Xenopus tropicalis: one gene and its partners. The protein of the gene in region 1 purifies or fractionates together with the protein of each later gene. This does not show direct contact. Links are inferred from orthologs where the notes say so. Each region holds a gene or a part of one and is shown on either strand. Other genes may lie near its edges.

What was found. The genes of interacting proteins can lie anywhere in the genome.
Region 2: the proteins of ogt (region 1) and dido1 purify together in Homo sapiens (affinity purification with mass spectrometry; 3 studies listed by BioGRID and IntAct, with this or other methods). This does not show direct contact. The link is inferred for Xenopus tropicalis from reciprocal best matches to the Homo sapiens genes OGT and DIDO1.
Region 3: the proteins of ogt (region 1) and setd1a purify together in Homo sapiens (affinity purification with mass spectrometry; 4 studies listed by BioGRID and IntAct, with this or other methods). This does not show direct contact. The link is inferred for Xenopus tropicalis from reciprocal best matches to the Homo sapiens genes OGT and SETD1A.

Annotation. Positions count from the first base shown.
Region 1 is NC_030684.2:44,073,150-44,081,456, reverse strand, and holds part of ogt (UDP-N-acetylglucosamine--peptide N-acetylglucosaminyltransferase 110 kDa subunit), read left to right. Parts: intron 1-716; coding exon 717-960; intron 961-1,388; coding exon 1,389-1,457; intron 1,458-2,839; exon of another isoform or gene 2,840-2,965; coding exon of another isoform or gene 2,966-2,977; intron 2,978-4,083; coding exon 4,084-4,200; intron 4,201-4,727; coding exon 4,728-4,807; intron 4,808-4,926; coding exon 4,927-5,122; intron 5,123-5,206; coding exon 5,207-5,347; intron 5,348-5,426; coding exon 5,427-5,527; intron 5,528-5,611; coding exon 5,612-5,765; intron 5,766-5,855; coding exon 5,856-5,957; intron 5,958-7,147; coding exon 7,148-7,327; intron 7,328-7,467; coding exon 7,468-7,626; intron 7,627-8,307. UniProt on the Homo sapiens protein: Catalyzes the transfer of a single N-acetylglucosamine from UDP-GlcNAc to a serine or threonine residue in cytoplasmic and nuclear proteins resulting in their modification with a beta-linked N-acetylglucosamine (O-GlcNAc).
Region 2 is NC_030686.2:2,430,937-2,439,243, reverse strand, and holds part of dido1 (death-inducer obliterator 1), read right to left. Parts: intron 6,538-8,307; coding exon 6,015-6,537; intron 5,433-6,014; coding exon 5,273-5,432; intron 5,080-5,272; coding exon 4,963-5,079; intron 4,416-4,962; coding exon 4,314-4,415; intron 4,218-4,313; coding exon 4,082-4,217; intron 4,002-4,081; coding exon 3,479-4,001; intron 2,698-3,478; coding exon 2,544-2,697; intron 2,101-2,543; coding exon 2,011-2,100; intron 1,844-2,010; coding exon 1,648-1,843; intron 285-1,647; coding exon 1-284. UniProt on the Homo sapiens protein: Putative transcription factor, weakly pro-apoptotic when overexpressed. Tumor suppressor. Required for early embryonic stem cell development.
Region 3 is NC_030685.2:5,879,135-5,887,441, reverse strand, and holds part of setd1a (histone-lysine N-methyltransferase SETD1A), read left to right. Parts: intron 1-3,032; coding exon 3,033-3,185; intron 3,186-3,919; coding exon 3,920-4,018; intron 4,019-4,140; coding exon 4,141-4,411; intron 4,412-5,605; coding exon 5,606-5,712; intron 5,713-5,798; coding exon 5,799-5,977; intron 5,978-6,130; coding exon 6,131-6,941; intron 6,942-8,307. UniProt on the Homo sapiens protein: Histone methyltransferase that catalyzes methyl group transfer from S-adenosyl-L-methionine to the epsilon-amino group of 'Lys-4' of histone H3 (H3K4) via a non-processive mechanism.

The sequences.
Region 1 (8,307 bases):
GCATAGAATGGCACACACTGGCAGCATAGGGTGGCAGAGAATGGCACACACGGGCAGCATAGGGTAGGCAGAGTATGGGGCACACGGGCAGCATGGGGTAGGGAGAGTATGGCACACACAGGCAGCATAGGGCAGGCAGAGTATGGCACACATAGGCAGCATAGGGCAGGAAGAGTATGGTACACACAGGCAGCGTAGGGCAGGCAGAGTATGGCACACGCAGGCAGAGTTTAGCAAACAGGCAGCATAGGTTAGGCACAGTATGGCGCACACAAGCAGCATAGGGCAGGCAGTATGCCACATACAGGAAGGGTATGGCAGGCAGAGTATGGCACACACAGGCCGTACATACAGTGACACAAGGCTGGCACGGCTCCTACAGTCTGCGGTGTAAGCAATGTGGGCGTGTACAGTCTTTGCCTGAGCTGTGAACAATGGAGGAACTAAAAGATGTAAACAACACAGGGTTTAAAGTTGTTTACAGCCTGAATCTGAGGTGTGAACAATGCAGGGGGCAATTCATCTCAGTACTGTTGCCATTTAAAGCTTACACATAGCTAAGCAATTACAGCATCCAGACAGGGGGGCACATGGGGGGGGGGGGGCTGCGTGCCGCCAGTTGGACAGCCCCGAGGTTCAGCTTGCTTTATGTTTAAAATTAGGTAATACAACAAAATATGATTTAAAGTAAGTTTTGGTACTTTTTTTTTTAATAGGTCTGCCCATTTCAGCACGTTGGCTATTAAGCAGAACCCCCTTCTTGCAGAAGCCTATTCGAACTTGGGCAATGTTTATAAAGAGCGAGGACAACTTCAGGAAGCTATTGAACATTATCGGCATGCTCTGAGGCTAAAACCAGACTTCATTGATGGATATATTAATCTTGCTGCGGCTTTGGTAGCAGCTGGTGATATGGAGGGCGCAGTACAAGCTTATGTGTCTGCTCTTCAGTACAACCCTGTAAGTTATTCTTTGTATGTTTAAATGGACAGTACCACTTATAAATGAATTCTTGAAAGTCCACATACAAATGGGATCCTAGGACAGCATGGAATTGTATGACAAGCTACAGCAGCCTTATGTCATTCAGTTGAAACCCACCCCTATGTTGCTCCAATACCTATTCCAATGTGGTGAATTCTGTTTTTTTTTTTTTTTGTGTGGGGGCAAGGGTATATAGCAAATAGGGTATATAGTTGGTTCAGTGGGAAGAGATTAATCGAATGTGATAGTGTTGAAGTACCCTCAGACCCTATAAAGGGTTAGCCTAAGCAAACATTTGCTTCCAAACCTTAACATACTTTATGCTGCTTTTGTCCATTGTGAGTGTTAAATGTGTTTCTGTATTTTAATCCTATTTTTGTCTTTCTCTTTTACCTTTTCGACAGGACTTGTACTGTGTCCGTAGTGACCTGGGTAATCTTCTTAAAGCCCTAGGTCGCTTAGAAGAAGCTAAGGTAGGTTTTCAGTATATTGATAATCAATGTACATGCCAATTCCAGTGTTGCAAAACCTTTGCTTTGCCTTAAAGCTTTATAACTAGTGTATACAGTAACATGTTAATCAAATGGAGCTGTACATGAAACGCATGATCCGAGGAGTATCGTTTGGTTACACAACACCTCAGGTTTGAGGAGTTGTTCATCTGGTTTCTTAAACTTTTACTATTTTTAAAGGCATCAGTCCTATCCTTGGTTTACTAAATTGACCAAATTCATCTGGAATTGGTCCCCTGCTCTCCAGCTCATCATCTGATGAACATAAGGGGGACTGCAAAGCCAAAACAAAAGGCCCATCCATTTTTCTCCTCTAGCCCCCTCTTCCCCCCAGTGAATGTTGCTTTTTTTATGGAAGAAAGGCTGTTTTAAAGTAAATGCACATCTGACCCAAAAACTTAGTTTGCACTCCTATTCACAGCAAAAGGACAGAGGCTGGTTTGTATTAAGAAAATGGACTGATAGAAAGAAACTAAGAATTTAAAGGTGGCTTCTAGCAGTTGACAGTTACAGACTTGGTAAATTGTAATCTATTTTTTGATGTTTTAACAGGTTTGCACTTGTTTGTAAACTTAATGTGAAATACAGCAGTCATGTTACAAGCCACCTTGTGCGTCTGCGCTGCTAGGAAAAGGGGTTGGGAGAAATTAGAGGACATGTGAAATCCCCCTGTTACTCCACACCCCACGCGCCTGCAATTGCTTGGAGTGCGAATGCAGAGTAGCTGTCCATGTGTAATGAGACCCATGGGGAGGGTTACCTTTTTATAGAATTCACTATTTAAATTGGTACCAAAAGGGTCAATTTCAGGTTAGCACATCCTTTTATTTTTTAAGGGGCTCTGATTTTTAATTACCTGTTATTGTGGTTCTCAGCTCTCCATTTGGACAACTAACACATATTGCACTTCACTGCTGCTTCGGCGACACTTGCATAGGAGAAGTCTGCGCTGGCATAGAAATGCTGATTTCTTTATTTCAGAGTTCTGGAAGCAACTAGCTTGAGAAACTGTTCTTTGGCAAGGATTTAAATATACATGAACAAGTTAACTGAATTCTTTCTCTGTAATCAGTGCATTTCCAATATCAAGCCAGCTGTTTCCTGGTTGTTTAAGAGCAAAATTAACATAGCTGTTAGAACCATAAAGCCTTTCTTCCAGTCGTGCACTTTTCTGCCCAAACTTCCTGCATGATAAACATTAATAAAAAGCAAGCTTGACATGTCCTTGTCTGAATCATAGAGCATATCCAAAAACATTTCACTTGCTTTGTTGAGATCTTTTACTAATTATATTGTTTTATTTTCTCTCCTGTTTTGGTTTTTACCACTGATATTGTATTTAGAAGGTTTCAGGTGGGTGAAAACTGCTATTCCATGCGTAAGGTGCCTCGCTGAAGGGAGCTCGAGGCCTGGATCTAGGCAGACATGCACCTCCTCCTCTTCCAGCAAGGAACGCACCGAAAAGTCACATGAGAAATATGGTAACGGGTTTGTAACTGCCACAACAAAAACCATTTGCTCCATGCCTGAATCCTTCTGTCTTGTGGCTTCAGAAACCGCTTAAAATATTTTTAGTAACATTTAAAAGACGAGACTATATACCATTAGCCACAATTCTTTAAAGGAAACTGAGTAAATATGTTTTAAAAGAAAAAAAAAACCGGAGCTAGTTTAGTTGTAAGCTTCTAACTCTTCCAAATGTTCATTATTTTTTTTCCTTTTTTTTCTTCTTTGTTTGGACTGAAGCGTTCTGCTCCTCATCATGCGCTGTGAGCCTGCAGTAGCGCAAAGGCTGCGCTACGATTTGCGCTGTGCGTGGGGATTAAATTGTGTGAACAGTCAACTTGATGGTTAACTCTTGTTTAAGGCCTCTGGGTTAAGCATTTCATTTGTGGGGAGCTCATTCATGGTTTAGTTTAAATGGCTTTAGTTCTGTCCCATGTTAATGCTTCAGGTTGGCTGTTGACATTTGCCAGCGACTCGCCGAAGCGCAGCAACTGCGTAGTTTTGCTGACTAGCATTGGGCCGCCTGCGAATCTTCGCGCCTGCGAATCTTCGCGCCTGCATTACAGGGACCCTAACCTGTATGCAATCTTATCATTTTTGGTTTTCGTGATGGCACCAATACCTATTTTCCAATGGATAAAACAACATAGAAGAAAAAGAGCTGCAAAGACATTAAAGTGCTGTTTATGGGATACCCCCATAGTAGTAGACCTTCTTCATTCTTTATTAAGGCATAATTAACAAATGAAATTGATACTGTATGGAACTTCTGTTTACCATTTGGAGAATGGTGGTTTGTGATCAGGAGATTTTATTCTTTTTAAACTCTAGACAATTAAAATATTACAATCCAGTGCACATCAAATCAGCTTAACTAAAAAATGGAGGCTTGCATTTAGGTAAGGGTTTGCGCTGGCGTAGGATTCATAGCTTGCGCAGTATTTGAAGCGCTAGCGAGCCTATGCTGCAGGGTCACTTTTTCCTGTTTTGAGAATGAATTCTGACATTTCTCTCTTTTTTTTTTTTGGAACCCCTCTCCTTCCTTTCCTGTCCCACCTTCCTTTGCTTTGATCCTTTAAAGGCTTGTTACCTCAAGGCAATTGAAACACAACCAAACTTTGCAGTTGCTTGGAGTAATCTTGGATGTGTATTTAATGCACAAGGAGAGATCTGGCTTGCAATTCACCACTTTGAAAAGGTATTTCTGTACTCATTCTTTGCCAAGTTATTTACTAGCTTTTCCTTGTCTGGTAATGCTTTTGTTAGGGGGAGAGACCCCCTTTACTATTACTAATCTTGCAGCAAAGGAACTGGGAATGCATATATTTACCTAATGTATAACTAAAGGGTGCAATTTCCAGACAAGCCATAATAGTGTAGTTGCTTATGTACAGGGCCATAGAGTTGAGTCCTAAAGTTTAGATATGCCTGTAGTAAAAATCTTCAAACAACATATTTTTCCAGCTTTACTGTTACCTTACATTGCCTGTGTTAAGTCAAATAATGTACCTAGAATTTGCTATGTAAGGTAATTTAAAAGTAATTGCTTTGCTACTAGGTTTTTTCAGCTTTTATTTACCATAATGGAATTTTAGGACTATTATTATTCATCCAAAAGTGTGTAACATGTAACATTTTATAAGTTTGTAATAGATGTATCCTACTTTTTGTTGCATTCCTTACTAAATTTTTTTTTTTATTGTACTTTATTGAAATTTGTTTTAGGCTGTAACTCTTGATCCCAATTTCCTGGATGCTTATATTAATTTGGGAAATGTGCTGAAAGAGGCTCGTATATTTGACCGGTAAGAAGACTTGTGAAGTTAAACTTGCTTGTTGCTGTAGAATCTGATTACAGGCTAATTTTTTAATTTTTAAGACATCCGTTCTACATTGATTGAATGGTTTATTTGTCCCCCCACAGAGCAGTAGCAGCATACCTGCGAGCCCTAAGCTTAAGTCCAAATCATGCTGTGGTCCATGGAAATTTGGCTTGTGTGTATTATGAGCAGGGACTTATTGATCTTGCAATTGACACCTACCGTCGGGCCATTGAGCTGCAGCCACATTTCCCTGATGCCTATTGTAATCTTGCCAATGCTCTCAAAGAAAAAGGCAGTGTAAGTACATTTTTTTTTAATGTGTTTCTTCTGTGTGTTCAAGTTGAAGCTACAACACTGATTTTTATTTTGTTTTTTCTTAAGGTGGTCGATGCAGAGGAATGCTACAATACAGCTCTTCGACTCTGTCCTACACATGCAGATTCTCTCAATAACTTAGCAAATATAAAGAGAGAACAAGGAAACATAGAGGAGGCAGTGCGGCTGTATAGAAAAGCTCTTGAGGTAAATATACTATTGATTGTTGCACTAGGAACATTTTAACCATGATGGATTTGTCCCTAAATTATTTTTCTGTCTGCAGGTTTTCCCTGAATTTGCAGCTGCTCACTCAAATCTAGCTAGTGTATTGCAACAACAAGGAAAACTTCAGGAGGCTCTGATGCATTATAAGGAAGCTATTAGGTACATTTAAAATAGGTACATGTTTTCATTTCCTATTACATATTGGTTAGTGGTGCGATTTACATTTTTGTTTCTGTTTTCTAGAATAAGTCCAACCTTTGCTGATGCTTATTCTAATATGGGAAACACTTTAAAGGAGATGCAAGATGTCCAGGGTGCATTGCAGTGTTATACTAGGGCAATTCAGATAAATCCAGCTTTTGCTGACGCTCACAGTAATCTGGCCTCCATTCACAAAGTAATTTACTTTCTAATGTGGATTAGCCTTTGGGGGGATTTGACAAAAATTAAAAAAACAGAAACGATAATTTATTTTTAACAATTTCAGGATTCTGGAAATATTCCAGAGGCAATTGCATCATACAGGACAGCACTGAAACTGAAGCCGGATTTTCCTGATGCCTACTGCAACCTTGCTCACTGCCTTCAGGTAAGAGTGTGTATTAATGGTATTCTGGATTATGATGTTTTGTAAGAGCTCAGTAATTGAAGTGAAGGAAAGGTGTAGGCATAAACTTGCCAAATAGTTTATTTTTTAACGTTGGATGTGCAGTTAGCATGTCCTTCATACCCTTTTTAAACTGGGTTTTAGCAAGTGAATAAGAGATGGGTTTTCTCTTCCTCTCAAGTGCAAAATTTATATTGAAATTTATAATTAAAAGGTTTGACTTCTTGGGTCTCTTTGTTTTTTATTGTGGCACGTTGACCAAATTTCTGACCTATTTTTTTTTTTGCTGTTTCTGTGCAAAAAAAAAAAAAAAAAGTAAAGTAACTTCTGCTACTGGGCTTCATTCCTTGCCAGACAATCAACTTTTTCCCATTTTTTTTCTTTACTATCTTGGATACTGTTTCCATCTTTTACAAGAATGTGGGTGACTATGGTTTTTGTTTCCATGACCTAATTTTTCCAGAAGAAATCCCACCCCATTTGTTGGTGATGATGGTTTGTCTCCCACATTTTTTTGCAGTGGGACAACACCACAAAAGACTGCAGTGCCCTTGAACGTACTTATAATCAGCAACATTACCTTGAAAGTCCTGCATTAATACTGTTTGCCTTTTATTTGTTAAAGGAACAGTAACACTAAAAAATAAAAATGTTTTAAAATAATTAAAATATAATGTACTGTTGCCCTGCACTGGTAAAAGTTGTGTGTTTGCTTCAGAAAGACTACTGTAGTTAATAGAAATAGCTGCTGTGTAGCCATGGGGGCAGCCATTTAAATTGAAAAAAGGAGAAAAGGCACAGGTTACATAAGAAGATAACAGATAACTGTGTAGAATACAATGGGAATCTGCTACTTATCTGTTATCTGCTTAGTAACCTGTGCCTTTTCTCCTTTTTTCAATTTAAATGGCTGCCCCCATGGCTACACAACAGGGTATTTATATAAACTGTAGTAGTGTTTATGAAGCAAACACACAACTTTTACCAGTGCAGGGCAATAGTACATAGTATATTAATTATTTTTATACACTTTAATTTTTTGGTGTTACTGTTCCTTTAACTTCTTCACTGGTATTTTAGAGCTACAACAGTATATCACAAGCCTGTCTAACTGTTGCATGCAATTGCTGCTTTTCTCTTCTAGTTATAAATATGGACTCTTGTTTCTATAGATTGTTTGCGACTGGACAGATTATGATGAGCGTATGAAAAAGCTGGTCAGTATTGTTGCCGACCAGCTAGAAAAGAACAGGCTTCCTTCTGTCCATCCCCACCACAGCATGCTCTACCCACTGTCTCATGGTTTTAGGAAAGCAATTGCTGAAAGGCATGGGAACCTGTGTTTAGATAAGGTAAGATTGCATTTTAAGATGTGAAAGATATTTTATCATTGTGCATATTTATGGAGTTCCATTATCATGAATTGGGTTCTTTTGAGCGGTTTCAGAATAGCACAAATTACTTGTTACAATTTGTACTATTTATATTGCAGATAAATGTCCTTCACAAACCACCATATGAACACCCAAAGGATTTAAAGGCTAGTGATGGGAGACTACGGGTGGGATATGTGAGCTCAGATTTTGGAAATCATCCAACTTCTCACCTCATGCAGTCAATACCTGGCATGCATAATCCAGATAAATTTGAGGTAAGGTGTTTTTTTTTTTTTGTTTTTTTTTTATGGTTCTACCTGTCATTGTATGGAGATGGGAGTATGGCTCAGTGCAGTTTAATGCTTTTAAATAAATTTCTGCTTTATATAGCACAGATCTACCTCTAGGTCCTTTTTTATGTAGTTTTTTTCCAGCCCAACATTTAAAGGTTAGATGGGCCTTACTACTTAAATTCCTGCTCTGGGACACTTAGTTGGTGCTGTGATGTACCCCAGCACAGACTTTTTAAATCTAAAAACTTGTTTAGGATAAATTTCTGTATACCTTGTACATAAAATAATATCTTAAGATGTGCTGAATTTGTTTCAGAAGCAGAGCTAGAAGCTGTTTTATTGAATAGAGTAACGTTTCTGCTTTAAGCTATGCACATATGAATCAATGCACACTAAGGTGGATGTACTAACATAAATAGGCTTACATTGGGTGTTTTACAAATAGATTTGCTTCTGACAGTTTTATATTTTTAATTTTTTGTTTTCTGGGTTTCTTAGTTTTCTCAGTTTTTGAATGTGTGTCATTATAGAGGTTGGTGATGCAGATGTTATGGTTGTGCTCATAATAAGTAATGGTGCTATCACCACAGTATTAAAAAAAAAAAATGCCAAAAAGTCAGGACTACTTGTATTCTTAATTACCTGAATATGAACATGCCCTTA
Region 2 (8,307 bases), on another chromosome or scaffold:
AACTGGAGCAACTACTTTTGCAAGTGCTTCTGGGAGAGGAGGTGGGGAACCTGGAGGAGCCGTACTTTTGACAGATTCGCCGGCATAGGGTTGATATTTATGAGGCATCTTTTCTGCCTGAGACGACAAAGCCCCTTTAGTGACATTCCCCACCTCCGTATCCTCCTGGCCTCCACTTTTCGTTCGTTTATCTTCCAACTTTTCCGTCTCGCTGGTAACTGGACGCTTGTTCCTCTGACAAATGACAAGGCCCAAAATGAGGTTCGGACGCGTCGCTTCGAGCCCTAGAAGAAAACGAGAAAATTTTAAGATTCGGGAATGCAACAAAGTGTCGGCATCGGGGGGGGGGGGGGGGGGATGTACATTTCATGAGCAAACAGATCACAGATATTACTGTTCGGCTGAATCTTTGCTTCCAAACTGAGATGTGATTGGATCCTGGACTGCTACTAAAAATACTTGAATAATAATAAATTACAGGAACATTCATTGAAGGGGTTTCTCTAATAAAGGTAGGAGGTGCTGGTTCATGACCTATAGGGTGTCTAAAGTAACATTTACCCCAACGGCTGAAGCCCTTCTTGCCCCACTATATTCCTAAACCCTGGGACCAAGCAGCATAGACTAACCTGCCCCGAGACCAATGTACGAGTGTATAAACATGGAGCAGCAGTTATATATTTGCTGGACGATAATCCACAGGTATCAGTGTGGAATGTACCGACACCACTATATACCCCAAGGCTGTGCAGCTGGGAACCAGGGGGGGCTTTCTATGGTTCATTATTGTCCCACCCATGAAATCTCTGCCTTCTGCATGGAAACCATTGGATAGAACTAGTGTAAACTTCCTGCAATTGGGATAATGGGCTGCAAAACAGACCCTCTTGCCCCCCTACCCAATCAGGGGAGCTTTACTTCTGTGTGGTCGAAGTGCCAACAACGCTGTGTGGCTTTGGGGGTTGCCTCCTTATGTGTGCAGCCAGTTGTTATTAACTTAACTAGGTTATGGGTGAAAGTGTATACAGGGGGATGACACACAGAGCTACATAGTAGCAGCTACTTGTAATGGCTATAAACCCCAGTAAATCCCCTGCCATAGACAATAGTGAGAATTCCCTCTGCTAAAACACATGGAGAGACAATTATCAATAATCGATCAGCATTGTCTGTTTCTGTAACTGCTACTAGTAGCTCTGTGTGTCTTCAACGTTACTGGGACCTATGGGGCTGGTGAAGGTGGAATAATCCTGGCCTATAACGATGAGCCCAATGTAACGCCATTTTATCAGCTGGGAATGGAGTTTTCTGGAGCGAATGGATGATTCTGTGCCAGATGCATTTCATTGTATGTGGAATCTGCCTCATTCTCCCGTAGGCCACGGAGATGCTGGGATTTCTGTAGAAGTTGGGCTTCCGTATCTTCCTTCTGCTTCCGGGATATTCCTTTCCATGCTGTGCAGCATCCCCCATAAGTCTAAAAGCCCTCAGACGCCCGTTGGAATGTATAAAGAGTATAATTCATCCGAAGAAAACAATCACCAGTTTTCAGAAAATGCTTTATTTGTGTGTAGGAAGCAGGGAGGGGGGAGCATTCTGGGTTGCAACACGGATTAACGGTTCTCTCTTTTGTACCGAGCAACTCACCTGGTCCATCAAAGGGCAACAGTTTGGAGGGAATTGGGTCCTTGGCACTGAGTGGAATCAGATACAGGTCCTTGACGTGACGGTTATTGTTGGCTACGACTCCGAATCGGCAGCGGCTGCTGAAATAGGAGTATAGGGATATGTAGGCCACCTCCTCCTCTTCTGTGGCCGGATGGAAGCGGATCAGCGACAACTCCTATAGAAACACACAGACAGAAGTCTCACACTTGTATTTGGCATCAGAAGCTCCAGATCATTAGGCAACAAAGGGTGATTGAGCACGGATGCCAGGTACCAATCACTGCTCCGAGGGTATTTGCCTTGGGCAGTATAGAGACAGGGAGGGGGGCTTCAGACATTTACCTTTGACTGAGAGGACTTCAGCTTCCCAACGTAATCCCAGACGGTCTTCGGAGAGATCCTTCCGCCTATGTGGATCGTGTCTGGTAAATCCTACAGAAAAAAATTAACCATTAATCCACTTGAAAAAAAATAATAGATCTTTCTACACAAATAAATCTGGACTTGTTGAGTAATCGTTGAAGACGTTTCACTACTCATCCGAGCAGCTTCTTCAGTTCAACTGACTGGTATGGGGAGCCCTCAGCATATATACTCTTGGCACTTAGTGCCATTGTGATTGGATTAGTGGAAGAGTATATATGCTGAGGACTTCCCATACCAGTCAGTAGAACTGAAGAAGCTGCTCGGATGAGTAGTGAAACGTCTTCAGTGATTACTTAACCAGTTAAGTTGCTTTAGATTTATTTATACTAGATAAACCATGACCTGGATGAATGCAAATCTTCATAGTCAACTTTCTACCCAGTGAGTTCACAATGAATTGGCCCAGATATTTATGGGGGGGGGGGTCGTTATTAATAAGGGGAACAAACCTCATTGAGATATTCCACAGAGCCGGACACCGGGTAGGCTTTAGTGACAAACTTGGCCACGGACTGCATGTTTATGAATCCTTTCCATATGGGGTTCAGACGAGAGAGGAAGAGAGACGTATCCCCTTCTTTGGGTGGCCGCATTTCTGTCAAGCTGCGAAAAGTAAACGATGGAAGTTTAAGAAAAAAAGAAAATTCCACTCAATCCAATATTTGTGGATCTACTAAATATCCCACAGCTGACAAAATAACGGTCCACGTTAGATCATTTGGCAACTTTGTCATTTCACATTATTCTTCTTAAGATAGTATCTGATACTGTGATTGGCTAGGACTTGTGCTGGTTCTCAGGGCTGTTCTAATTGGCTACTGGATGTTACATGTACGAGTACCCCCCAAGCAGAATGGCTCAGACCTAGGGGCGGCCCTAGGCAACCCGGCCGGCCACCTCGCCCCTGCACCTTCCTGATCCCCCCCGTGCGCATGTGCAGTCACAGGGAGGGGGGTGGAGTTCGAGATGCGATTCGATGGTTCATTGCCCCCACCACATAAGGACAAGCGGTGGGGGCAATTACTAAAGAGAGCAGACTAGGGGTAGGCAGGACAGGCTCCTGTCTGGTGCCCCCTAATTGTTGCGCCCTACGCAGCTGCCTCTCCTGCCTACCCCTAGTTCCGGCCCTGGTCAGGCCCAGTCAGGGTTATAAATCCCAAATGTATTGCTGTAATCCATAATAAGATTGCTTGAGGTACAGCAGTGGCAAAAAGCACCCCAGCCCCCCCCAAACTTTTCTATCTACTGTATAACCTGTGAATATGGAAAAGGATTGTGTCTGAGGTACCCATTTGATTGCAAGCCTACAGGACGTGTATATAACGGACAGTATTGTTGGCCCTTGGGAGTAAAGTGGCTAAGAGAGCAGGCTAAGCTTACGCACTTGATGTTTGGCGATGCGGACGCTAAGTATCGGCTCTCCGAGGGAAGTGGCTTGGAGAGAATAGACTTGGGCATAGAGAAGACTTGAGGAAGAAGAGGCTTGGGTGGTTCCGTCGGCGCCTCTTCGTTCTCGCGTGAAGACCTTGCACCGATGTCTGGGTTGGAAGAGACGGTCAGAGGGCGCTTGATGGCTGTTCTAGGGTCTCTGCCCGATACGGTGACAGTGGTGACGGGAGCAGGAGAGGGGTACACGGGGGCGTGACTGGAATATATTGGGTCGGGGAGAGTAGGGGATTCAGAGGGTAAGGGCACAGGTAATGGGGCTGCCTCTGGGATATTCTCTGCATTATCACAGATTTCCATGGGTGGATTGGACTCTGTATTTTCAGCTGGTTCTGGGGGAGGGGGTATAACGCTGCTCTCCTCTTTGGGCTCCGGCTTGGAATTCAGGTCGGGCTTCTTGGCAGCTGCAGTGGTGGTTTTCGGTCGCTTATAGGGAGGCTCATCATCCGCAGGAATCTGGCCTGTAAATACATCAGTACGGGTCACAAACAATGTCTATTGCGTATACACTCCAGTTACCCATTGGTACAAGTCTGCTCACCTGTACAGATCTTGCACTTAAGGTCGAAAAGATGGGCACGATGCTGGCTCGTAGTGTCGCTCAACATGCTGCTGAATATGTCCGGAAGAACCGAAGTATTAGTCTCCGGCGGGGCCTGCGCCGGCTCCTGCTGCTCCTGTGGAACACACGCAAGGCAACACTGTTAGGGAACGTCCTACAGAGGAACCCCAAAGACTTCTATAGTATAGTGGACTTATAACCCATAACTTACCGTGTCTGTATCGGACATCGGCGGGGACTCCTCCATGTCAACCGCTTGATTCATCGAAGGAATTTTATTCTCCATCCGAGCCTTGCTTTTGAGGACCAAACCCTTTTTTTCAAAAGAGGAAAAGAAAAAGGAATTATTACTAAAAAACCACGTCACTATGACAACTGTGGCCTTGGCCTTAGGATAGCAGATTACAGGTTTATTTCAAGGTAGGGTAAAGGGGGCCATACATGGGCTGATTGTAGCTGCCGATATCGGTCCCTTGGACTGAGTTGGCCTGTGTAGGGGCAGGAACGAGGGGCATGCCCGACCAATATCTGGCCTGAAATTGGCCAGATATCGATCAGGCAGGTTAAAAGATTTAGTCGGATCTGGGACCGTATTGGCTCGTTGATGTGGTCCCCGAACAGACTGCCCCATTGCCGCCATTATAATTAGCCTACATTCTCCCCCATATCGCCCACCCATTGGTGGGGATATTGGGAGAAGATCCGCTCGCTTGACGACCTCACCAAGCGGATCTTCACGTATATGGCCAGCTTTAGGTAACCCACAACTACTGTCTGTGCAAGACACCCTCATACTGTGGGTTTGCGGAACCTTTGCCCATATAAAGATCAGGTGCTTTAGAAAAGAAAAAAAAACGTACTGATCTGGATCCAGTCTCTTTCCACGATGATAACTTTCTAGACGCGAGTTCCTCGGGTTTTAGCCGCACAAGCTTCGCCAAGGGAATCTCTTCTTTGAGGACTCGGTGGTACAGACCCTAGGAGTAAAAACCATTGGACAATTTAGAAAATGACGAAATGACAAAAGCTCAGATGGGTCGCTGCAGTGCTGAGAGGAACTGGCAAGGGTTAAACAGCATCACTAAATGCCAATGAGCATCGGCGAGGAGACGGCAACGGTGCCGCCCTAGATACACACACACACACATCAGTAAATAGAGTGCCACAAACCTGATTCTTTGGGTCCTTGAGGTTAAACATGATGTTGCGGTACTTGGCCTTGTACCTGCTGTCCGTATCCCGATACAGATTGAACATTTCCCTTTCGATATTTGTGGCGATCCTCGCAACCTCGTTCTCCACCATCACCAGGTCATCGCTGTCAATGACTCTGGAAACACAAACAGACACTTATTCACAGGGAACAGCCAATCACACGTCTCGTTACATTATAACTAGTTGGATTCTGCCGTTTATGGGTAATTATATTCATATTTAACATTTCCTTGTATCTTTGATGGGTGTTTCGGAACGTTCGGATATTGGTTGATCGATCTACTCATGTTGAGCCTGATATTGTAGGATAAAGCCCTAAATATAACCAATGGGAGGATGTTCTGAATGTGAAATAGTTACAGGCACCAATCGTACGATAGTGACTCCCATTGTAGGGCCCTTAAGGGCAGATATACAATAATACGCTGATTTTTTCCTTATCCCACTGACATTTTCTAACCTGCCCCATCGACTAAACGGCCAATCCCCATGGTATTGGGATAATTCTGAGCTCAGACAGTCTGGAAATTGCACGAAATGCATGTATGGGTGCATTACTTTGTATATTGCCTTAAACTAATATAACCAGAGTGTAATTCTGTTTACTGTGGGCACAGGGGACCTTTAGGAGGGTCGTACACTGACTGTCCAATAAAACAAATATGGAAAATGACTAAAAATCATCCATGAAACACACCTCTTCCATAAGATCTGTTTCAGAGACCTCCGGATGTTCTGCCGGATCTGCATGTTGGGCACAGGGTGTGAGGAACTCTGGGCAGACTGTGGGGTGCTGGACGTAGGCTGTGAGGTGTTGGCTGTGGGTCTTGGGGGTGGGTTTCCCATTGCAACTTTAGTAGATGGGGAGGGGGCAGCTGACTTCTTCTGACCCAAAGGCAACTTGGAGGGAATGGCTTTCTTCTGACTCGGTGCAGAAGGCAGTGATGGAGCCGGAGGCTTTTTGGGAACAGGAGACGGCTTGGAGTCGGCAGGCTTAGTGGGCTGACGGACCCCTTTGTTCTGTATGGGGCTTTTGGAACTAACAGCAGGTTTAGGCAGCGGTTTGATGGGGGTTGTGGAGTGGGAATCCTTCTTGGGTATCCTTGGGAGCGAGGAGATTGGCTTCATCACCATGCTGGTGTAAGGGCAAGGGACGGACGCTTTGGCCGGAGGAGAAGCAGGAACTTCGGGCTTCTTTTCCACTTCCTCTACCTTTTCAGCTGCAACAGAAGAACAAAAGGGAAAACCCGGTTACACATTATACTCAACTGTGTCATCTTTTCAGCAAATCCACCTGCACACACAATAGGGCGTAAAATGGAGGAAAGGAGGTTTTTATTGCAGTGTGTTTGGTTGCTGATCAGTCACCGTGACGGCCAGGGTGGCATTTGGGTGGAGCAGGAAAAAAAAATAAAATAATGATATTGGGCAACGGAGAAGCTGAATAGATCCATCAATGACATTACAAGTTATTGTAAAGGCAACACTGCTTTGCTGATGAATTTGCCCCCAGGTTACAGACCCCTTTGCCCAACACAGACTGGGTAATTCTGCCAGCAGGATTTGCTAGAGATATGTAATCAAATATTTCAACACATCTTTATTTTACAAGTGATTATGGGCCACTTGTGCTCTACATTGACCGATTGCCGTTAGTGGGTGGAGTCGGCTTGATGGAGATGTAATGAGTGCTTGAGGTGGGTGCTTAGTGAATGGGTGACCCATAGCGAAGCCCTGTTTGACTGGGGTGGGTGCTTAGTGAATGGGTGGCCCATAGCGAAGCCCTGTTTGACTGGGGTGGGTGCTTAGTGAATGGGTGACCCATAGCGAAGCCCTGTTTGACTGGAGTGGGTGCTTAGTGAATGGGTGACCCATAGCGAAGCCCTGTTTGACTGGAGTGGGTGCTTAGTGAATGGGTGACACATAGTGAAGCCCTGACTGACTGGGGTGGGTGCTTAGTGAATGGGTGACCCATAGCGAAGCCCTGACTGACTGGGGTAGGTGCTTGAGGTGGGTGCTTAGTGAATGGGTAACCCGTAGTGAAGCACTTACTGACTGGGGTAGGTGCTTGAGGTGGGTGCTTAGTGAATGGGTGACCCGTAGCGAAGCCCTGACTGACTGGGGTGGGTTCTTGGTGAATGGGTGACCCATAGCGAAGCCCTGTTTGACTGGAGTGGGTGCTTAGTGAATGGGTGACACATAGTGAAGCCCTGACTGACTGGGGTGGGTGCTTAGTGAATGGGTGACCCATAGCGAAGCCCTGACTGACTGGGGTAGGTGCTTGAGGTGGGTGCTTAGTGAATGGGTAACCCGTAGTGAAGCACTTACTGACTGGGGTAGGTGCTTGAGGTGGGTGCTTAGTGAATGGGTGACCCGTAGCGAAGCCCTGACTGACTGGGGTGGGTTCTTGGTGAATGGGTGACCCATAGCGAAGCCCTGACTGACTGGGGTGGGTGCTTGGTAAATGGGTGACCCATAGCGAAGCCCTGACTGACTGGGGTGGGTGCTTAGTGAATGGGTGACCCGTAGTGAAGCACTTACTGACTGGGGTAGGTGCTTAGTGAATGGGTGACCCGTAGCGAAGCCCTGACTGACTGGGGTGGGTGCTTAGTGAATGGGTGACCCGTAGCGAAGCCCTGACTGACTGGGGTGGGTGCTTGGTGAATGGGTGACCCATAGCGAAGCCCTGACTGACTGGGGTGGGTGCTTGGTGAATGGGTGACCCGTAGCGAAGCCCTGACTGACTGGGGTGGGTGCTTGGTAAATGGGTGACCCATAGCGAAGCCCTGACTGACTGGGGTGGGTGCTTGGTGAATGGGTGACCCATAGCGAAGCCCTGACTGACGGGGGTGGCTGTACATAGGAATCTGACACATAGAGGTTACTTGCCCGTCCCTATAAAGGAATGTGTGGGCCAATTGCCCTAAATGCAGGTTCCTTTATGGCATTTTAAAGTTACCTGTCCATTTTCAAGGCCAAGCTTCGTCTAC
Region 3 (8,307 bases), on another chromosome or scaffold:
TGCAGCCCCCCGGCTTCTGCTTCCCTACTGCAGCCCCCCGGCTTCTGCTTCCCTACTGCAGCCCCCCGGCTGTTACTTCCCTACTGCAGCCCCCCGGCTGTTACTTCCCTACTGCAGCCCCCCGGCTTTTACTTCCCTACTGCAGCCCCCCGGCTTCTGCTTCCCTACTGCAGCCCCCCGGCTTCTGCTTCCCTACTGCAGCCCCCCGGCTGTTACTTCCCTACTGCAGCCCCCCGGCTGTTACTTCCCTACTGCAGCCCCCCGGCTTTTGCTTCCCTACTGCAGCCCCCCGGCTTCTGCTTCCCTACTGCAGCCCCCCGGCTTCTGCTTCCCTACTGCAGCCCCCGGCTGTTACTTCCCTACTGCAGCCCCCCGGCTTTTACTTCCCTACTGCAGCCCCCCGGCTTCTGCTTCCCTACTGCAGCCCCCCGGCTGTTACTTCCCTACTGCAGCCCCCCGGCTTCTGCTTCCCTACTGCAGCCCCCCGGCTGTTGCTTCCCTACTGCAGCCCCCCGGCTGTTACTTCCCTACTGCAGCCCCCCGGCTTCTGCTTCCCTACTGCAGCCCCCCGGCTTCTGCTTCCCTACTGCAGCCCCCCGGCTTCTGCTTCCCTACTGCAGCCCCCCGGCTTCTGCTTCCCTACTGCAGCCCCCGGCTTCTGCTTCCCTACTGCAGCCCCCCGGCTTCTGCTTCCCTACTGCAGCCCCCCGGCTTCTGCTTCCCTACTGCAGCCCCCCGGCTTCTGCTTCCCTACTGCAGCCCCCCGGCTTCTGCTTCCCTACTGCAGCCCCCCGGCTTCTGCTTCCCTACTGCAGCCCCCCGGCTTCTGCTTCCCTACTGCAGCCCCCCGGCTGTTACTTCCCTACTGCAGCCCCCCGGCTGTTACTTCCCTACTGCAGCCCCCCGGCTGTTACTTCCCTACTGCAGCCCCCCGGCTGTTGCTTCCCTACTGCAGCCCCCCGGCTGTTGCTTCCCTACTGCAGCCCCCCGGCTGTTGCTTCCCTACTGCAGCCCCCCGGCTGTTGCTTCCCTACTGCAGCCCCCCGGCTGTTGCTTCCCTACTGCAGCCCCCCGGCTGTTGCTTCCCTACTGCAGCCCCCCGGCTGTTGCTTCCCTACTGCAGCCCCCGGCTGTTGCTTCCCTACTGCAGCCCCCCGGCTTCTGCTTCCCTACTGCAGCCCCCCGGCTTCTGCTTCCCTACTGCAGCCCCCGGCTTCTGCTTCCCTACTGCAGCCCCCCGGCTGTTACTTCCCTACTGCAGCCCCCCGGCTGTTACTTCCCTACTGCAGCCCCCCGGCTGTTGCTTCCCTACTGCAGCCCCCCGGCTGTTGCTTCCCTACTGCAGCCCCCCGGCTGTTGCTTCCCTACTGCAGCCCCCCCGGCTTCTGCTTTCCCTACTGCAGCCCCCCGGCTTCTGCTTCCCTACTGCAGCCCCCCGGCTTCTGCTTCCCTACTGCAGCCCCCCGGCTTCTGCTTCCCTACTGCAGCCCCCCGGCTTCTGCTTCCCTACTGCAGCCCCCCGGCTTCTGCTTCCCTACTGCAGCCCCCCGGCTGTTGCTTCCCTACTGCAGCCCCCCGGCTTCTGCTTCCCTACTGCAGCCCCCGGCTTCTGCTTCCCTACTGCAGCCCCCCGGCTTCTGCTTCCCTACTGCAGCCCCCCGGCTTCTGCTTCCCTACTGCAGCCCCCCGGCTTCTGCTTCCCTACTGCAGCCCCCCGGCTTCTGCTTCCCTACTGCAGCCCCCCGGCTGTTACTTCCCTACTGCAGCCCCCCGGCTGTTACTTCCCTACTGCAGCCCCCCGGCTGTTACTTCCCTACTGCAGCCCCCCGGCTGTTGCTTCACTACTATTCCCAACAGCCAACGAATTGCTGCTCATCCAAAGCTGGCTGGTGCAGGGTGGACTTTCCTTAATGATCTAATGCCCCCAAGGGGGCCCCAGGCTTGTCAGGGGCCCACTGTTCCCTGGGATACTGTGCTGAAGGAAGGGGCTGAGTGTAACTAGAAGACAGAGAAGAGTGGGGGGGGGGGGGGGGGGCATTGGGGAGACAGGCAGGGCAAGAGACTGGCCAAAAGTATGCTTAGAGATTCCCAGTGTGAAATTTAAGAGAAGCCATTTTGGCCCAGTGCTACAGGCAGCGAGAGAACCACAGAGAGTGAGACAGAGGGGCAGCTGGGAGAGACCGACACAGCCACATATCAAAGCCTTTACAGGGGCAGCAGTGGGGTGTTTAGTTATAGTGTTTGGCTATAGAGTGACACGCAGGAGACAGACATTAAGGGTTGTTTACTAGGGAATCTTTCTGACAGACAGGATGACATAGAATATATTTGCTAGGAGATTGCATGGAGTAAATACATTTCAGAGGAGGGGATAAAATTGTAAATCAAGAGACTGATGGACAAGGTTGGCAGACAGGCAATGAGAGTGCAAGAAATGGAAGAGATTTAATATTGAAGCTTGCAGACCGCACAGACCAACACTGAAGAGACAGACACCATGGGAAAGGAGCGCTTGCAGTGCAAAGACGGAGGTGTGTGACAGACAGAGGAGCACGTGGTGGAGAGAGCGTTCTAAAGGCAAACAATGGGAGTGAGCAAACAGACGGGTGCAAGAAACCAAGATGGCTGCACGTGACACCAAACAGAAACCCACAATCTGACTGGAGAGCGGGAGATTGTACTGTAAATTGTAGCAGTTTGGTTCCGAATAACCGACAGCAGCCGCTGGATTGAAACTCGCTGGATGATATAAGGACTTACTTTTATAGGAGGAGCGAGTGGCGCCATGTTATAGTAATGTCTGGGCACCAACGACAGGCCCGCGGCCTAAAAACAAAATGAGACAGTGACTGTCCGATTTCTAACAAGGAGCGTGTAGCAGTTTAAGGCAGTCAGGATCATTTTAAAGGCCAAGTCAGCCACACAACGAGAAAACATTTAATGGGAAGTAGTGGAAAAGACTAAACCAGATAAGCGCAGGGTTGAAATGCAGCACGGTATGTTCCATAAACTGTTGTACTGTCCCCTTACAGGTCAGATGTCCCCAGATGGAGCCCGAGGGCGAAAGTCACAGAGGGGCGGGCTTCCAGTGGAGGAGCTACAAGTTGCTGTTGGATCCCGCATTGCACAGTCGCAGAACAACGCAGAAAGTCTATCGCTATGATGGAATCCACTTCAACATATCCGTAAGGCCTTTACAGCCTGTGTCGGGGGGGTGGGGAGCATTATTATGAGTGGCTTCCCGCAGTTTGCGGTCTGTGATTATTGTTTTATTATTTTCTTTATAAAGGGGTAGTTCACCTTTAAATTAACGTTTAGTATAATGTAGAGAGTGCTGTTCTGAGGCAACTTGCATTTGGTCTTCATTTTTTATTATTCTCATTTTATAAATTTATTTAGCTTTTTGGTCAGCAGCTGCCCAGTCTGAAATTTCAGCGGCTATCTAGTTGCTAGGGTCCAATTTAACCTAGCAACTACACAGTGGTTTGAAAGAGACACGGGGTTATGAATAGAAGAGGGCATAAATAGAAAGAAGTCATAAAAAGGAACCATAACAATAAAATCGTAGCCTCGCAGGGCAACAGTTTTTTGGCACTGGGGTCAATGACCCCCCATTTGAAAGCTGAAAAGAGTCAGAAGATGAAGGCAAATAATTCAAAAACTATAAAAAATAAAAATTGAATAGCTTCTAAGACTAGGCCATTCTACAACATACTAAAAGTTAACCTATCCCTTTCTGATTCATCTTACTGTGTGCTGTTTAAGCTACTTCTTGGTTGTTAAGGGCAGTGAGCCTGGCAACCAGACAGCAGTTTAAATTCCAAACTGTATCCATGGCTAAGGTTTGGTAGGTTACTTCTCAGCCAGGGGTATCGTTTAATGGCTCAGTCGCTGAGTGATGTTATTGCTTTGCCCTTAGGATGGAGCATTCCTCCCACTGGGGGACGTGCGGGACCCCCGACAGCATCGCATGTGGAGCAAACCACGAGAGATTTCCCTCCCTGTTCCTAAATTTAAGGTATGCGGGTAATATCTGCGCAGAGCGTGTATTTCTGTGGGATGTGCTTTGTATTTCTGGGCTCTGTACCTCCTCTCATTGGGAGCGAGATTTCACTCTGTAACCCCCCCCCCGTTTGTTAGTTTGATGAGTTCTACGTGGGACAGCTTCCCCAGAAAGAAATCACTTTTGCGCATCTCAATGACAACGTGCGGGAGCCTTTCCTGGCCGACATGTGCCGCAAGTTTGGGGATGTGGAGGAAGTGGAGATACTGCTGCACCCCAAAACTAGGAAACACCTGGGGCTGGCCAAGGTCCTCTTCTCCAGCTCCAAAGCGGCCAGGGACACAGTCACTCACCTCCACAATACGTCTGTGATGGGCAACATCATCCACGCCGAGCTGGACCTCAGAGGTGAGGGGGCAACGGACTCGGTCAGAGCTATGTGGCCAGTAGTATTGGGACAAGTTTTTAGCCAAATGTTTTTGGTCTTAATTAAGATGTCAGAGTATTTAAAAATGGCAATTTGCCATCTGGCAGTCTAACGGGATTTGACAGGCTGCGTGCATAATGTTTGGCAGAGCAGCAATAATGGGCTGGGGCTGAATCCAGCGGTTGGGCTAGGCCCAAACAGCTCACTCGGTGGATTAGGATTTTTATATATATATATATATATATATATATATATATATATATATATATATATATATATATAATATTATATTATATTGCTCCTTTTAAAGCTCTCTGTGCTATTAGATTGGGGTGCAGGTAACGGTGGCAAGTTAGGAGCATGAAGCTATAAAACATGGAATACTGGGAGCAACCATTAGTGTAGGAGAGAGGGAGGATATAGATGGGGGGGATCAGTACATGGAATACTGGGTGCAACCATTAGTGAAGGAGAGAGGGAGGATATAGATGGGGGGGGGGGATCAGTACATGGAATACTGGGAGCAACCATTAGTGAAGGAGAGAGGGAGGATATAAATGGGGGGGGGGCGGGGGTCAATACATGGAATACTGGGAGCAACCATTAGTGAAGGAGAGAGGGAGGATATAAATGGGGGGGCGGGAGTCAATACATGGAATACTGGGAGCAACCATTAGTGAAGGAGAGAGGGAGGATATAGATGGGGGGATCAGTACATGGAATACTGGGAGCAACCATTAGTGAAGGAGAGAGGGAGGATATAAATGGGGGGGCGGGGGTCAATATATGGAATACTGGGAGCAACCATTAGTGAAGGAGAGAGGGAGGATATAAATGGGGGGGCGGGGGTCAATATATGGAATACTGGGAGCAACCATTAGTGAAGGAGAGAGGGAGGATATAAATGGGGAGGTGGGGGTCAATACATGGAATACTGGGAGCAACCATTAGTGAAGGAGAGAGGGAGGATATAGATGGGGGGATCAGTACATGGAATACTGTGAGCAACCATTAGTGAAGGAGAGAGGGAGGATATAGATGGGGGGATCAGTACATGGAATACTGTGAGCAACCATTAGTGAAGGAGAGAGGGAGCATATAGATGGGGGGGGGGGATCAAGTCGTTGAAGGATTCTCATTGCAGGCATTTAGATTTTTTTGTTATTGTTTTTCAGGTCAGCAAAGACAGAAATATTACGATCTGATCGTGAATGGCTCGTACAACCCCCAGACAGTGCCAACGAGTGGGAGATGGGCACAGGAGAGGCTGCAGCCAGACATGGTGGGTGATTTTCACACGTTCCAGGTACAAGTTCTGGGTTGTGTCGGCGCCATCACTTTATTAAATGTGTTGTTGTCTGTCTCCAGGTGGACTCCAGGCGCAGGCTTTCCAGCGACTCCTCCTCCTACCTCCCAAATAACGGAACCCCTTCCTCTCAGGATCTCGGCTCTTCCTACAGCCAGTATACCCCCTCCTCCTCCCAAGGCACCCCCTACACTCCGCGAAGTGGCACCCCCTTCTCTCAGGACTCTGCCTATTCCAGCAGGTAGGGGGCCAGATGCAAAAACCATTGACCCCCAAATCCCACTTCTACTGGCCTCCAGCCCAGTGATGCCCATTAAGTCTCTATTAGAGTATCATTTTGATGAAGCAGAACTTGTCCAACCAACAGTCCTTAATGTTTCTCTTTGTTTTGCAGGCAGGGGACTCCCAGTCATTCCTCTTCTCAGGACACTTCGGGATATAAATCCAGGCGTCAGGAGAACAGTTCTGGGGACTCCTATTCCCGTCGTTCTGGGCACCACTATTCCCCAGCCCCGTCTTCCTCTACATCCTCCTCCTCCTCCCAGCACGAGAGCAGCCAGAAACGCTTTCACAGGCACCAAAACCGGTCCTCCCCGCAGTCATCTTATCGCTCTCGCCACCGCAAACCACCCCCACCCCCAGAAGAACCCCCTCTGATTCGCTTCCCTGGGACGCCACCTCTGCCACCGCCGCCACCTCCTCCCCCACCCCCTGATGACATTCACACGGATCGTGATTACCGAATAGCCCACCCTCCTCCTCTTCCTCCTTCCATCCCTGCACCTTCAACGACTATTCTGGTGCCTCCACCTCCTCCTACTGAGGGATGGGAGCCACCGCCTCCTCCTCTACCTCCTCTGCCACCGGTCTGTTCTCCTCCTCCTTCCCCAGCTCGTTCCTGCTCCCCACTCCTTGATGGTGTGTCGGAGAGTCTGCCATTCACACAACACAGCAGTAGCCTGGACTCTCGCATTGAGGCTCTGCTGAAGGAACAGCGCTCAAAGTTCTCCTTCCTGCCCTCAGACACTGAGGAGGAAGAGGAGGCAACAACAGAAGCACCTACTCAAGAGCCAGTAGTAGTGGAAGAGGTTCCTCCTGTTCATGGTCCGTACACCCCTCCCTTACCCGCAAGCTTTGAGGATGTATCGGCAGAGGCTATCCTGAGAATGGCAGAGATTGGCAGGACAGCAAATGGCCAGGACCGGGTGAGAATTTACATTTACACGGTTTTGTCTTCAAATCCCTTTAAAGCAGTGGTTTTGGCCTTGAGTTTGACTGTGATCCCCCAGGTTCATAACCAGGTATAAAACCATTGCTGAGGTAAAACTCTCTATGGCTCTTAGAGCAAACGTTTTAGTTCCTGGGCGGTGGGGCAGTTTCGCTGTCTGGGAACCACTGCTTTGAAGGGATGAAGGTTGGGGGGCAAGGGTGTGTGGGCAAGTTAGCGGTTAGCGGTTAGACGCACACAGGTGACTCCAGGTGGGCAGTTGGCTACTTATTGTAACTATAGAGTAGATAATAAATACAGTTAGTATTCCCAGAGATCTTTCTCATTTAGAGAGAGGCTTCATAGAGCTATGAATGTGCTATAAACTATTCATTGAATCAAAGGGAACATACCCACCTGTATAACTGCTGAAAGCTACCCCCACTGCAGTGCTTTCCAGACAGGGGGACGGCACATTAACAGAAGCTTCATTGACAACAACTGAGCAGAGAAGCACCAGGAGATGCTTCCTGTATTAGTAAAACTAACCCCAGTATGAAATAAAAGGCACTAAGTTTGCCCAGGAGCAGTTACCCATAGCAAACAATTAGATGTTTGCTTTTAAACAGGTGACCAGTAATTGCTACCTGCTGAGTGGTTGCTATGGGTTACTGCTCCTGGGCAAACTTAGTGCCTTTTATTATATACGGGGGTCAGGTAATGCTTCCTGGCTTCAGAACTGCACCTAATATAAGCATTATTTTTTTTTTTTTTGCTAGAATATTTATTGGGCTTTGACCAAACCATGTTGCAAGTCATATGACTTTTTTTTTTTTTTGGCCAAATATTATTACACAGTGTTTTAAAGGGGATATAAACCTGTTGCACGCTGTAAGCAAATTCAGTTTGAAGTCGTTTTCCAATGGACATTAATAATTATTTGTAAATGTAATTGCTACTGAAAGCAACGCCTCTGTCCCTTTTGCTTCTCTCTATTTCCCACAATGCCTTGCCTGTGCGGTGATTCTCCTCTTTTACAGGTCTGTTAATAACCGGACATGCAATGCATTATGGGAGCTGGAGTCTGACTACATCTATGTCTTATTTCAGTGGTCAGAACCAGCAGTGCAGAGATGGGCAAAGGGCAGGCAGATACGGCTTTCAGTAGCCTTGACAGTTGAGCATTTTACATTTAGGATTATTTTCCTTTATTATACAAAGTAGAAGTTGCCATTTTTGTGTGTGGAGGTTTCAGTTCTTGGCTGAATCCCCCCCCCCCCAAAAGTTGATTTGGTGCATTCCTGGTGTGGGGATTCCGTGTGCGTCTCTAACTGTCGTACCTATATAAATCATGGATCATTTGT